Bombyx mori: one gene and its partner. The protein of the gene in region 1 interacts with the protein of each later gene in a biochemical or structural test. Links are inferred from orthologs where the notes say so. Each region holds a gene or a part of one and is shown on either strand. Other genes may lie near its edges.

Region 1 (4,725 bases):
CGTTTTAATTTGACGTTCTCAAGGATTATGAAAACAGTACAGTAGGTAATAAATTAATTGGCTGGTTTAATCTGATACAAAGCAGCAGTTTGTTCCATCGTCAAGTGCCACGTGGCCACGACGACCGTAGGAGGCGTAGGAGGTTAGCCTCCTGCTCCCAAAAAAAGGGAATTTGCTATGCAATGTGAAACATATCGCAAGGCAATAAAATTTATAAAGATAGTAATCATATAGTCTGTGCAGTCGGTACAGATTAGACCGAATTCAAAATGGCGCTCAATCAAAAAGAGACATAAACAAATATAAATTAGATTTCGGTTAAATTATTATTTCGGCAAGCGCATACTGTGCGTATGATTAAAAAAAATGTAAAACATATAATAATCATAAATACCTATCATATAACATTTTCTACACGAGCAAGTAACGAAAATAGAGATTGCACAGCTTTTCAGGAAATATTTGGTGCTGGCCACATTTAATAGAGATGCGAATTTTACATCCATTTATTATGAAATATAATAAAATACAATCAATTATATTTTTTTCACAGTAATCGAACCCAAACAACTCATACAAGTTAAATAATGAAGTCAAATGGAATCCAGTATAAACATTCATAATTTAGAACGAAGTGTACATAACCCAAAGCGGAATCAAAATGATACTATAACGGACTCAATGTCATTTTAGTGATAGATGTTTTGTCACTAAATATTAATTTATCGTCTAGTCACTTTGTAATCTCAATATTTTTATTAAATAAAAAACAATAAATGTATGACAAATGTAATTTAGAAAGGATAAAAAAAAATCGTGTATTTTTTTTTGTTACTAAACATTTATTGTTCGTTTAATTGTAACGTTTTTAAAGACTGAATTAAATGAAAGTGTTGAGTAAATATTCAATTACAGTCATTGATAGTGGTTAGTTGTGATTTATAGATTTGTGTAGCAGGTTAGCGCTGACGTCACCTGTTCGGAACGGTTAGAGAGCGATGGATAGTAATTCCATTTTCCATTGGTTTATCATGAGTCTTATTTATAGTTTAGGGTTAGCCCAGTTGTTGTAAATGAAAGTCGTTATTAACTCACGCACTTGTATATTTACAGAATATACAGTAGGTACATACAGTTTTATTATAGCTATCTAAGTGGAACTGTGTTCGCCTGGACTGTCGTCAACAATGCGTGGAATGGTGAAGATGACACCTTGCATTACGTAGCCAGGTAACACGCCACGTACGTTATTAAGGATGTGTGTATGACCCTACATATAGTATTTGAAGAATTCTACCGGCGTTGATTTCTTTCGTTTTGAAATACACAAATTTTTGAATAACTGCGTTCGTGATTGCAGATTGTGGTTTAATTTGTTCGAATTTGTAAATCATTGCTTATTGGTGGTAGAGTGCCTTTGGAGACCGCACGGGTAGGTATCATCGTCTCGCCTATTTCTGCCGTGAAACAGTATTGACTTTCGGTTTGAAGGGTGGAGCAGCCGTTGTACTATACTGAGAACTTAGTACTCATATTATCTCAAGGTGGGTGATGGCATTTACGTTGTAGATGTCTATGGGCTCCGGTAACCACTTAACACCAGGTGGGCTGTTAAGTGTCAACGCAGTTAACGCATTACTGCTTCACGGCAGAAATATGCAGGGTGGTGGTGCCTACCCGCGCGGACTCACAAGAGGTCCTACTACCAATAAGATGAAAGCATCGCATATATTTAGTATTCCGTTCCGCACAGGCTGTCGTTCAGCCCTAGTTTCACTCAACGTCTAGCGATTAGTTCACGGGTACGTTTAGAAGTAATCTAGAATTCGAGTGTATGTGATTACGTGTACCTAATTTATATTAATCGAGTGTAGCGAACACAAATGACACCTTGAACCCCTGTGATTCGTTTTGTTAATTACGTAGATTTAATTGTTGGTCATTGTATTAAATATTTGAAATAAATTTGCGTTTTATTTTTTAAAGTTCTAAAAGTTTGAAAAGTGTGGTTTTTTTATTTATTAAAATAAATATTAATGCAGATACTTTCGGCATTAAGTATATATTAATAAAAATTATCATGAAGGACTTTGATGTAAAGATTATTTTAATGAAAATATCCTGAATTATGAGAAAAGAAAAAAAATGCAATAACAAAATATAATTTTCATTTTATTAATACTTTTTTTGGTATTTTATGAAAAAGATATTGAATAAAATGATTGTCTACATTGTTAGCTTTACAAATGACACCTCATTCGTCTTCCTAAGACGTCTACATCGATAGCAATGATTAAATCAGTGCAGGCGCCTGAGCTGCAAAGTAGAAAAAAAAACAAAATGGCTGCCATTCTAGTATGGAGGGGCCAAGGGAAAATTGGGATAGTGATTTGTCGATAAAAATCCCCATAATTTACCCCCTTAAGCCTCCGAAACTGGTGCACGGACACATTGTATAATGTTATCAGGTAATTTGGAGAATTAACAGAACAAGTAACATAGAAGTGATTTATTTTTAAAATTTAACTTAGTACATCTGCACAGATGTACTGGGAGTTATCGTCAGTTGCTGGCGGAGACCCGGTCCCACCGCCAGATGGTGCCGTCGTCGCAACACGTCAGTAGGATCTTGCCGTTGCGTGAGAGAGTTACCTGGAAATGGAAAATAATAAATAAATAACTGGGAACAAATTTAGGCAGTCATCGGACACCAATTTAGGATTTCCTGTGTTATGAGATTACCAGAGATTGATAAACAGGCTGGTACCAATTTTTCTAAAGAAATGTATGTACTTGAAAAAAGTTTACGATTGACTTCCACGGTGAAGGAATAACATCGTGTAGTAAAAATCAGACCCGCATAATTATAATTTGCGTAATTACTGATTTGTCTGGGTGTTGATTATGTATTTAACTATATACATATTTAAACGTCATAACTAATTTTTTTTATGGTTTAGATGGGTGGACGAGTTCATGGCCCACCTGGTGTTAGGTGGTTACCGGAGGTCATAGAAACCTACAACGTAAATGCTGCGACCGACCTTGAGATATAAGCTCTAAGGTCTCAGTATAGTTACAATGGCTGCCCCACTCGTCAAACCGAAACGCATTACTGCTTCACGGTAGAAATAGAGTGGTGGTACTCACCCGCGCGGACTCACTAGAGGTCCTACCACCAGTAATTACGCAAATAAAAAATTTAGGGGGTTGGATTTTTATTACACGATGTTATTCCTTCATCGTGGAAGTCAATTGTGAACATTTGTTAAGTACCTACGTATTTCATTAGAAAAATTGGTACTTGCCTGCGGGATTCAAACACAGTTACATCGCTAGATACGAACGCAGCGGACGTCTTATCCTTTAGGCCACGACGACTCACAAAGTAAAACAGCGTGCCCCTCACCTGTCTGACCGCAGCAACGCATCTCGGATGCACGAGCTGCGAGACTCGGGAGCCTCCAGCCACGTTCCCCAGTTCCCACACCATGGTCTTACCGCACTGATTACCTAGAGCTATCACCTGTAATCAAATACATTGATGATTTCATTATTAATGTTCGTAAAAAATTGCCTTTTCTCTCCTACCTATTTGCTGATAGCCGAAGGGGCTATTCTAACTATGCTCGGACTGGTAGATGAGCTCTTGGGCTTTGCCTTTTTCATTTTATTGCTTAGCTGGGTGGACGAGCTCACAGCCCACCTGGTGTTAAGTAGTTACTGGAGCCTATAGACATCTACAACGTAAATGCGCCTGGGTTCTAAGGTCTCAGTATAGTTACAATGGCTGCCCCACCCTTCAAATCGGGACGCATTACTGCTTCACGGTAGAAAGCGTTCGAACATTGTTGCATTCCAAGATACGAATGCACCGGACGTCTTATCCTTTAGGCCACAACTTCAAACCTGACGACGACTTCCTGAGAGAATATGCTAACAATTAACCCTAGCAAGTGTAGTGCTTCACAGAATCTACCCCCAGATCGCTAAGCCTGCTGCTAGTGTTAGAGCTGAAGGCGTGTAGTACTGAGTTTAATGGATCTGATGGATCCGTAAGGACTTGTCTAAGACGTTGACGGTGACTGGCTACGAAGTTGAAATGACATGTCATGTTCAAGGCGTTTTATTTATTACATTGTTTTTTTTTTTTATGATTGAAGGATTACTGGTGGCCCGGAGGTCTTTCCAGTTTCACCAGGACAGGTGGGCGAGCAAAGGCTCAGCCAGGAGGGGTGGGATTTGCTAACAGCTACCCGAGCGCCTCCGAAGGAGACCTAACAGCTCAAGAGTAGCTGCTTCGCGAATCGTGAATCTACTACCGGATCGGAATCGCGACCCGCTGAGAAGATCCGGCGAGCAACTCAGCGAGCTGATTCATGGGTTAGGTTGCACGGCGAACTCTTTGTCGAGTTCGACGAGTATGGTGATTACATTGTTATATTTAGGTTTAAAGTATTAATTGGGGCAATGAATTTATTCAATTGTAAGATTCAACTCCATAAAATAACAGAGAAAGAGAAAAATATTATTTTCTAAAATATCCAAACGCAATCTACTAGAGAATGTGCTTACCCTTTGACTATAGTCAACAGCGAATCGTATAAACCATATTTCACACTCTTTGTAGTCGAAGCGATGCACCATGGTGACGGAGTTGTCCCCGGGCCGCAGCTCCGTGTCCTCAAGTCGGCCCGGCTTCCAGCAGATTATAGCGTTTTCACA
Region 2 (5,562 bases), on another chromosome or scaffold:
TTGTATGTATGTTTGTAACTGACTACTTTAGACGCGATTTTGACCCACTTTAAACGGCCAGATTTCATTCAAACTCTATAGATTTATCGAGGACCGATGACAATTCAAAATTGGAAAAAAAAATTGAAAAAATTGAAATTCAACTAAAAAATGAATGAATGAATGAAAAAAAAAATATTTTATTGTAAGAAAAGCGTGAGGTGCTTTTTAAGATATTATTGAAATAATAATTCTTCTACTCATATCTATCAGAAATATGTTTATAACTAATAACACCATGCACACCACGCTTTTTTTACAATGAAATATGTATTTTTTTACACTATTTTGAATTTAAATTTATAAAAATTTATTTTCTATTTTTTAGTTGAATTTTATATAAAGCGTGTTTTTTAGTTTTTTTAAACTATTATTTATTTTTATAAATTAAGTACAATTAAAACCATAATTATATAATTCAAAAAACAATACTCATAATTAAATAATAAGTGTGTACAAAACAAAAACAAAAAAATTGCGAAAATTGAACATGAAAGGAGACTGGCATATCAATTACGATTAAGAATAAGAATTATTTAAAAACGACTAATTAAAGTCTAGTTTATTTTATCATTGGCTATAACTGAATAAACTTCTGTAATGCGTATGTAAGTAACACTAGTTTTCATCCGCGGCTCCGCTCACGTGTTTCGTTGATAAAAAGTATTATTATACATTCTCTAATATACTGATATTCACACTATAGTCGTCGTTGCGCCCGCGCCGGCCGGAACAGAATTGCAAACAAAATCACGGCGCTTGCATGACGCATTCTAACTCCGCCCCCTCACCCCTGTTGTTCCCGCGTTTCTCTTGGAACGGGGTCATTTTGTGTGACGTAATTAAACCACAAATTGGAATTGATAAAAACTTGAATTGAAATTTTTTTATATACAGAAGTCACATTATCGGTGAAATTTACGTAAAAAAAATATCCAATATACGCTACCGATATACGCCGCGGAGAAGCGACCTCCAAAATTCGCGTGCCAAACAGCGGAACTAAGAAATACGGTGAGAATCAATCCGGTGACAAAATAACGTCCATGCCAATATTTTACCCACGCATTGTACGGATCTTTCGGCTACCTCTGGCTGAATTTGAGAAATGGACAATCTTGCGTCCATATACAGGACGCAATAAGTCGGTCGGATGCAATATCATCGGTAAAAACCGCCATATAGGACGTAACATGCGCTCTGGGATGGAAATATATATATATACATATTATATATAAATATTGCAGTACATTCGGTTGTTTAAATATTAAACTATAAACCAAATATGTTCTTGGTTATAATTACAAAACTATTTTAACAAATCGCATCTATGAATACAAGCTAATTTATCATGTCAATATAATATTAACGAAAAAAAAAAAACCTACCTATGCTGATAGGCTATTTCAGCTTCACCCAAACGTGTGTAGGTGAGCTCACGGGGCTCAAATCGGGAATGTTGCTAACACTGGCCCCAGTAAGAGCAGTGCTTCGCAGAATCTACCACCGGATCGGAAACGCGACCCACTGAGAAGATCCGGCGAGAAACTCAGTGGGCTGTGTCTATGGGTTAATTCGCTCGTCGAGCCCTTCGTCGCATGCGACAGGTTCGGCGAGGACGGTGACCGGTGCTTGTGGTACCTAAAAGCACCGTTAATAGATCGGGGTAATTTCTCATTGCTCAATAATGAATATTAATACATACCTAGCCCCGATCAAACTTAGATGTGAGCTCGGTGCGGGCAAATCCGAGTACAGATTCCCTCCCCGAGATATCTCCTGCAGCCTCAACGAGTGGTGATGTTGATCTGCAATACATATTAACAAGTCAATATTAAAATCATTTTGTCTGAGCCCATTTAAGTTCAGTTTTGGCCCTCTAGTGGCTCCATCCTCCTCCATCCTTTTTTTATTGCTTAGATGGTTGGACAAGCTCACGGCCCACCTGGTGTTAAGTGGTTACCGGACTCCATAGACATCTACAACGTAAACGCCGCCACCCACCTCGAGATATAAGTTCTAAGGTCTCACTTTTAACAGTACATCTGGCGTGAAAGTCCTTATACGATACAATTAAGACCTCATGTCTTAAGGTGACAACATTCAGATTACGTCTATGGGCTCCGGTCTTCCTTTAACATTTTGATTGCGATGTAGGTCACCGGTGCCCTACGCGGCGCACTGAAGTAGTAATTATGTCGATTTCTCTCTTCGATCTTCTTACTAAGACGCCGGAATATCTAGTTAGAATCTGGCAAAGACGAATCCTAAGATACTGAGACTGAATATATTTCTAGAGACCTAAAAGAGTAAACCATACTTTTTTTTTATAAACAATCACGCCACGTTCACTGGTCCCGTACTAAGTTCATATAGAACTTGTGTTACAGGTACCAGATAACGGAAATAAATGTAAGATTTTTATTATACATATATATTTTTTAATATACATCCATAGGAAAATACATTTTATATTTATCATACAAAAATCTTCCCTTGGCGGGATTCGAACCCGCGACCCCCTTGTGTAGTGACCATGTCACGTACCACTACACCAGACGGCCAGAAAAACAAAAGAAGGCAAAGTTAGGCAATCCAGATGCGCTTACTAATAGAAATCGACATAATTACTTCAGTACGCCGCGTAGGGCACCGGTGACCTACATCGCAATCAAAATGTTAAAGGGAGACCAGAGTTCATAGACGTAATCTGAATATTGTCACCTTAAGACATGAGGTCTCAATTGAATCGTATGACAACTATCCGGTGACAACCAGCCAGTCAGTGTGTTAACGTATATATAGGACTGGCGGGCCGCTCCGGCTCCGCTCGGGTCTTTAACAAAAATTTCAACGATATTTGAAGCTTCATTTTGTTAAGATAAAAGAACACTTATTGCGGCATAATTATAATAGTTAGACATAATATGCTGTCGCGACACTTTTTATAAATAATAATATGTTCTACAAAGTCGTAGTACATTTTTTTTATTCTATCATCAATAGTTTTCGCAGAGCACGCGATATAAAGAATATTTTAGGTATTTTTTTTACACCTTGGATTACATTATTGGGGTTTTAGTGAGGATACCTAAATTTTTTTCAAAAAAGATTATAGCCTATGTCACTTGGGAATAGTGTAGCTTTCAAACGGTGAAAGATTTTTTCAAATCGGTTCAGTAGTTTCGGAGCCTATTCAAGACAAACAAACAAACAAATTTTTCCTCTTTATAATATTATAGTATAGGACAAGCTAGTCCATAACTTGAACGACTTACTTTCCTCGGCGCTCTGCAGCTTCAGCTTCTTAGGTACGGCGTTCGCATTCGGCACGATCGTCGACTTGACCAAGTTCCTGAAACGGCCTATGGACGGATCTATGTCTTCGGGATTGATAATGTCCACTTCTTCGTTGAAAGACACGTTTCTTTTCTGCTTCTTCGGCACACCGACCGGCATCGAAACGGTACGCTTCGTACCGGTTGTCGGCTGAAAAACGATAGTAATGTTACGCCGGTAAGAGTAACGCCATCTATCGTCCGGATAGCCGAAACGTATATCAAAGGAACTAGTAACGCCGAGAAAGATCGAGAAGTACAACGCCATCATTGTCAGATACCGGAAACACATCGAAGCTACTCGACTTGCCCAGAATGTTCTCGATAAATTTAAGAGGTCGTATCTATACTAATATATAAATCTACAGTGGTTTTTACGGATGTTCCGTTATAACTACTGAACCATGCATCCGATTAACTTGAAACTTGGTATCCACGTAGAAAATACATGTACTTAATGGATAGGCTAATATTTATATGAGTGTTGGACTCCCTACACCAGTTGCGGGGGCGTTAATGATGAGAATCTTTGTGGGGGTGAGAAATAATAATATTAATTTTAAATTCCCAGCGAAGTGGACGGGTACTGCTAGTTACTTATATAATAGGTTAGGTATATATAACAGAAATGTTTGTCTGAATTACTGAACTGTTTTAATCATACTAAGGGGGTATCATGGACTAAGAGGAACATAGTGGATGGTGACACCACTATATTTTCACTGCACAGCTATCATGCGTTCAAGTGGCAACAACTGTTACAGAACACAATTGGGACTTCATCTCAATCATTTTGGTAACCACAAAATACTTTGGGAACCATGTATGGAAAGACTCACTAGTCGATCTTCATATTTACAGCAATATATACATTAAAATGTTAAATACACTTTTTTACAAGAATATACTATTCACCTTGATAACATCAGTTCCATCTTCGGTTGATATACCAAGCATCGATATTCTTCTGTTGTGGGCTGTGTTGAATTCAGTTAAGTTCTGTAAGTCATTGTACAAAAATACATTAACAATACACAGCTACCTAAGTTCAATAAAATATTTTATGTTTATAATTTTAGACCACAGACCACATATTGGTTAGAGGAAGAGCATAGGTCTTCATGAACGCCAAATACTATATCTATAACATTTCCTTAGTAGCAGTATTCTAAGCTTATTGCCATACCGACAAGGGCTCCAAAGCATGAAATCGAGAAAGGAGTATTGAAGTCAAATCGAAATCTAACTCAATAATACACATAAATGTAGGATTGGTAAGAACGGAACGTATGAAAAGAGTGTGGAACGGAGCGTTAAGATGTGAGTGAGAGAAAACGGAAAGAAAGGGAGAAGAGAATGACAGATAGAATGACAGAGAATTTGAAGATGGCGAAGACGTTTGAAAAATGAGTAAGACATAATAAAATTAGTGTTAATTATTAATTACTATTATAATAGAAGATTTTGGAATAGTATAACTTTTATTTTATGCGCTGCGATCCCTTTTCTACATAAATTATACTAAGAACAAAATCTTACATCTAGTTCGGTTTGTGTTTCAGGCAGGCCGAGCAATGCTCCTTCAGTTTCTGTATTAGGGAGATCCTCCATTATACCACGCGATGTCCCAGTCGGGCGTTCTCTGTGAACCATTGATACATTAATTAAAAGACACTTCATAATTCAGAATCCATGAACAGAATAAATCATATCGTCTTCTCGCATTAAAACTGTATTATCTCAAAACTTACTAATTTTATAGGAGAGTGTTTTAAAGGTTTAACAGGTTATATTTTTAATATTAATCATCTTTGCAACATTATTTTTTATTTTGTACCAGTTACGTTATCTGTCTTTTAAAGTATGATAAAATTGTGTACATATTAATTTTGTTAATATTTAGTAATGACAATTTAAGTAAACCAACAAAAAAAGGAAACCAAAACTAAACTACGCTGTTTTAACAGTATTTATGAGAAAAATACTGGTGATACCAAATGATTTCGCATATTAACTCAATTTTGAATATTTTTGTAAATTGTACACTTTTAATGCATACAGACGATATATCCATTGCAGACATATTGGAACGGCTTATGGACTATAAGCTGTTCGGTTTCAAAATGGCTTATTCGTTTGCTCATCTAATTCTAATTTCCTCATATTTTGAGCCCACACAATACAC

Evidence for each region.
Region 2: the proteins of ESC (region 1) and nuclear inhibitor of protein phosphatase 1 form a complex in vitro, tested with the Homo sapiens proteins (2 studies listed by BioGRID). The link is inferred for Bombyx mori from reciprocal best matches to the Homo sapiens genes EED and PPP1R8.

The regions. Positions count from the first base shown.
Region 1 is NC_085112.1:13,493,875-13,498,599, reverse strand, and holds the end of ESC (extra sex combs), read right to left. Parts: coding exon 4,576-4,725; intron 3,527-4,575; coding exon 3,410-3,526; intron 2,653-3,409; coding exon 2,563-2,652; downstream 1-2,562. UniProt on the Homo sapiens protein: Polycomb group (PcG) protein. Component of the PRC2/EED-EZH2 complex, which methylates 'Lys-9' and 'Lys-27' of histone H3, leading to transcriptional repression of the affected target gene.
Region 2 is NC_085126.1:4,084,478-4,090,039, reverse strand, and holds part of nuclear inhibitor of protein phosphatase 1, read right to left. Parts: intron 5,020-5,562; coding exon 4,917-5,019; intron 4,377-4,916; coding exon 4,293-4,376; intron 3,529-4,292; coding exon 3,318-3,528; intron 1,848-3,317; coding exon 1,745-1,847; intron 1-1,744. UniProt on the Homo sapiens protein: Inhibitor subunit of the major nuclear protein phosphatase-1 (PP-1). It has RNA-binding activity but does not cleave RNA and may target PP-1 to RNA-associated substrates. May also be involved in pre-mRNA splicing.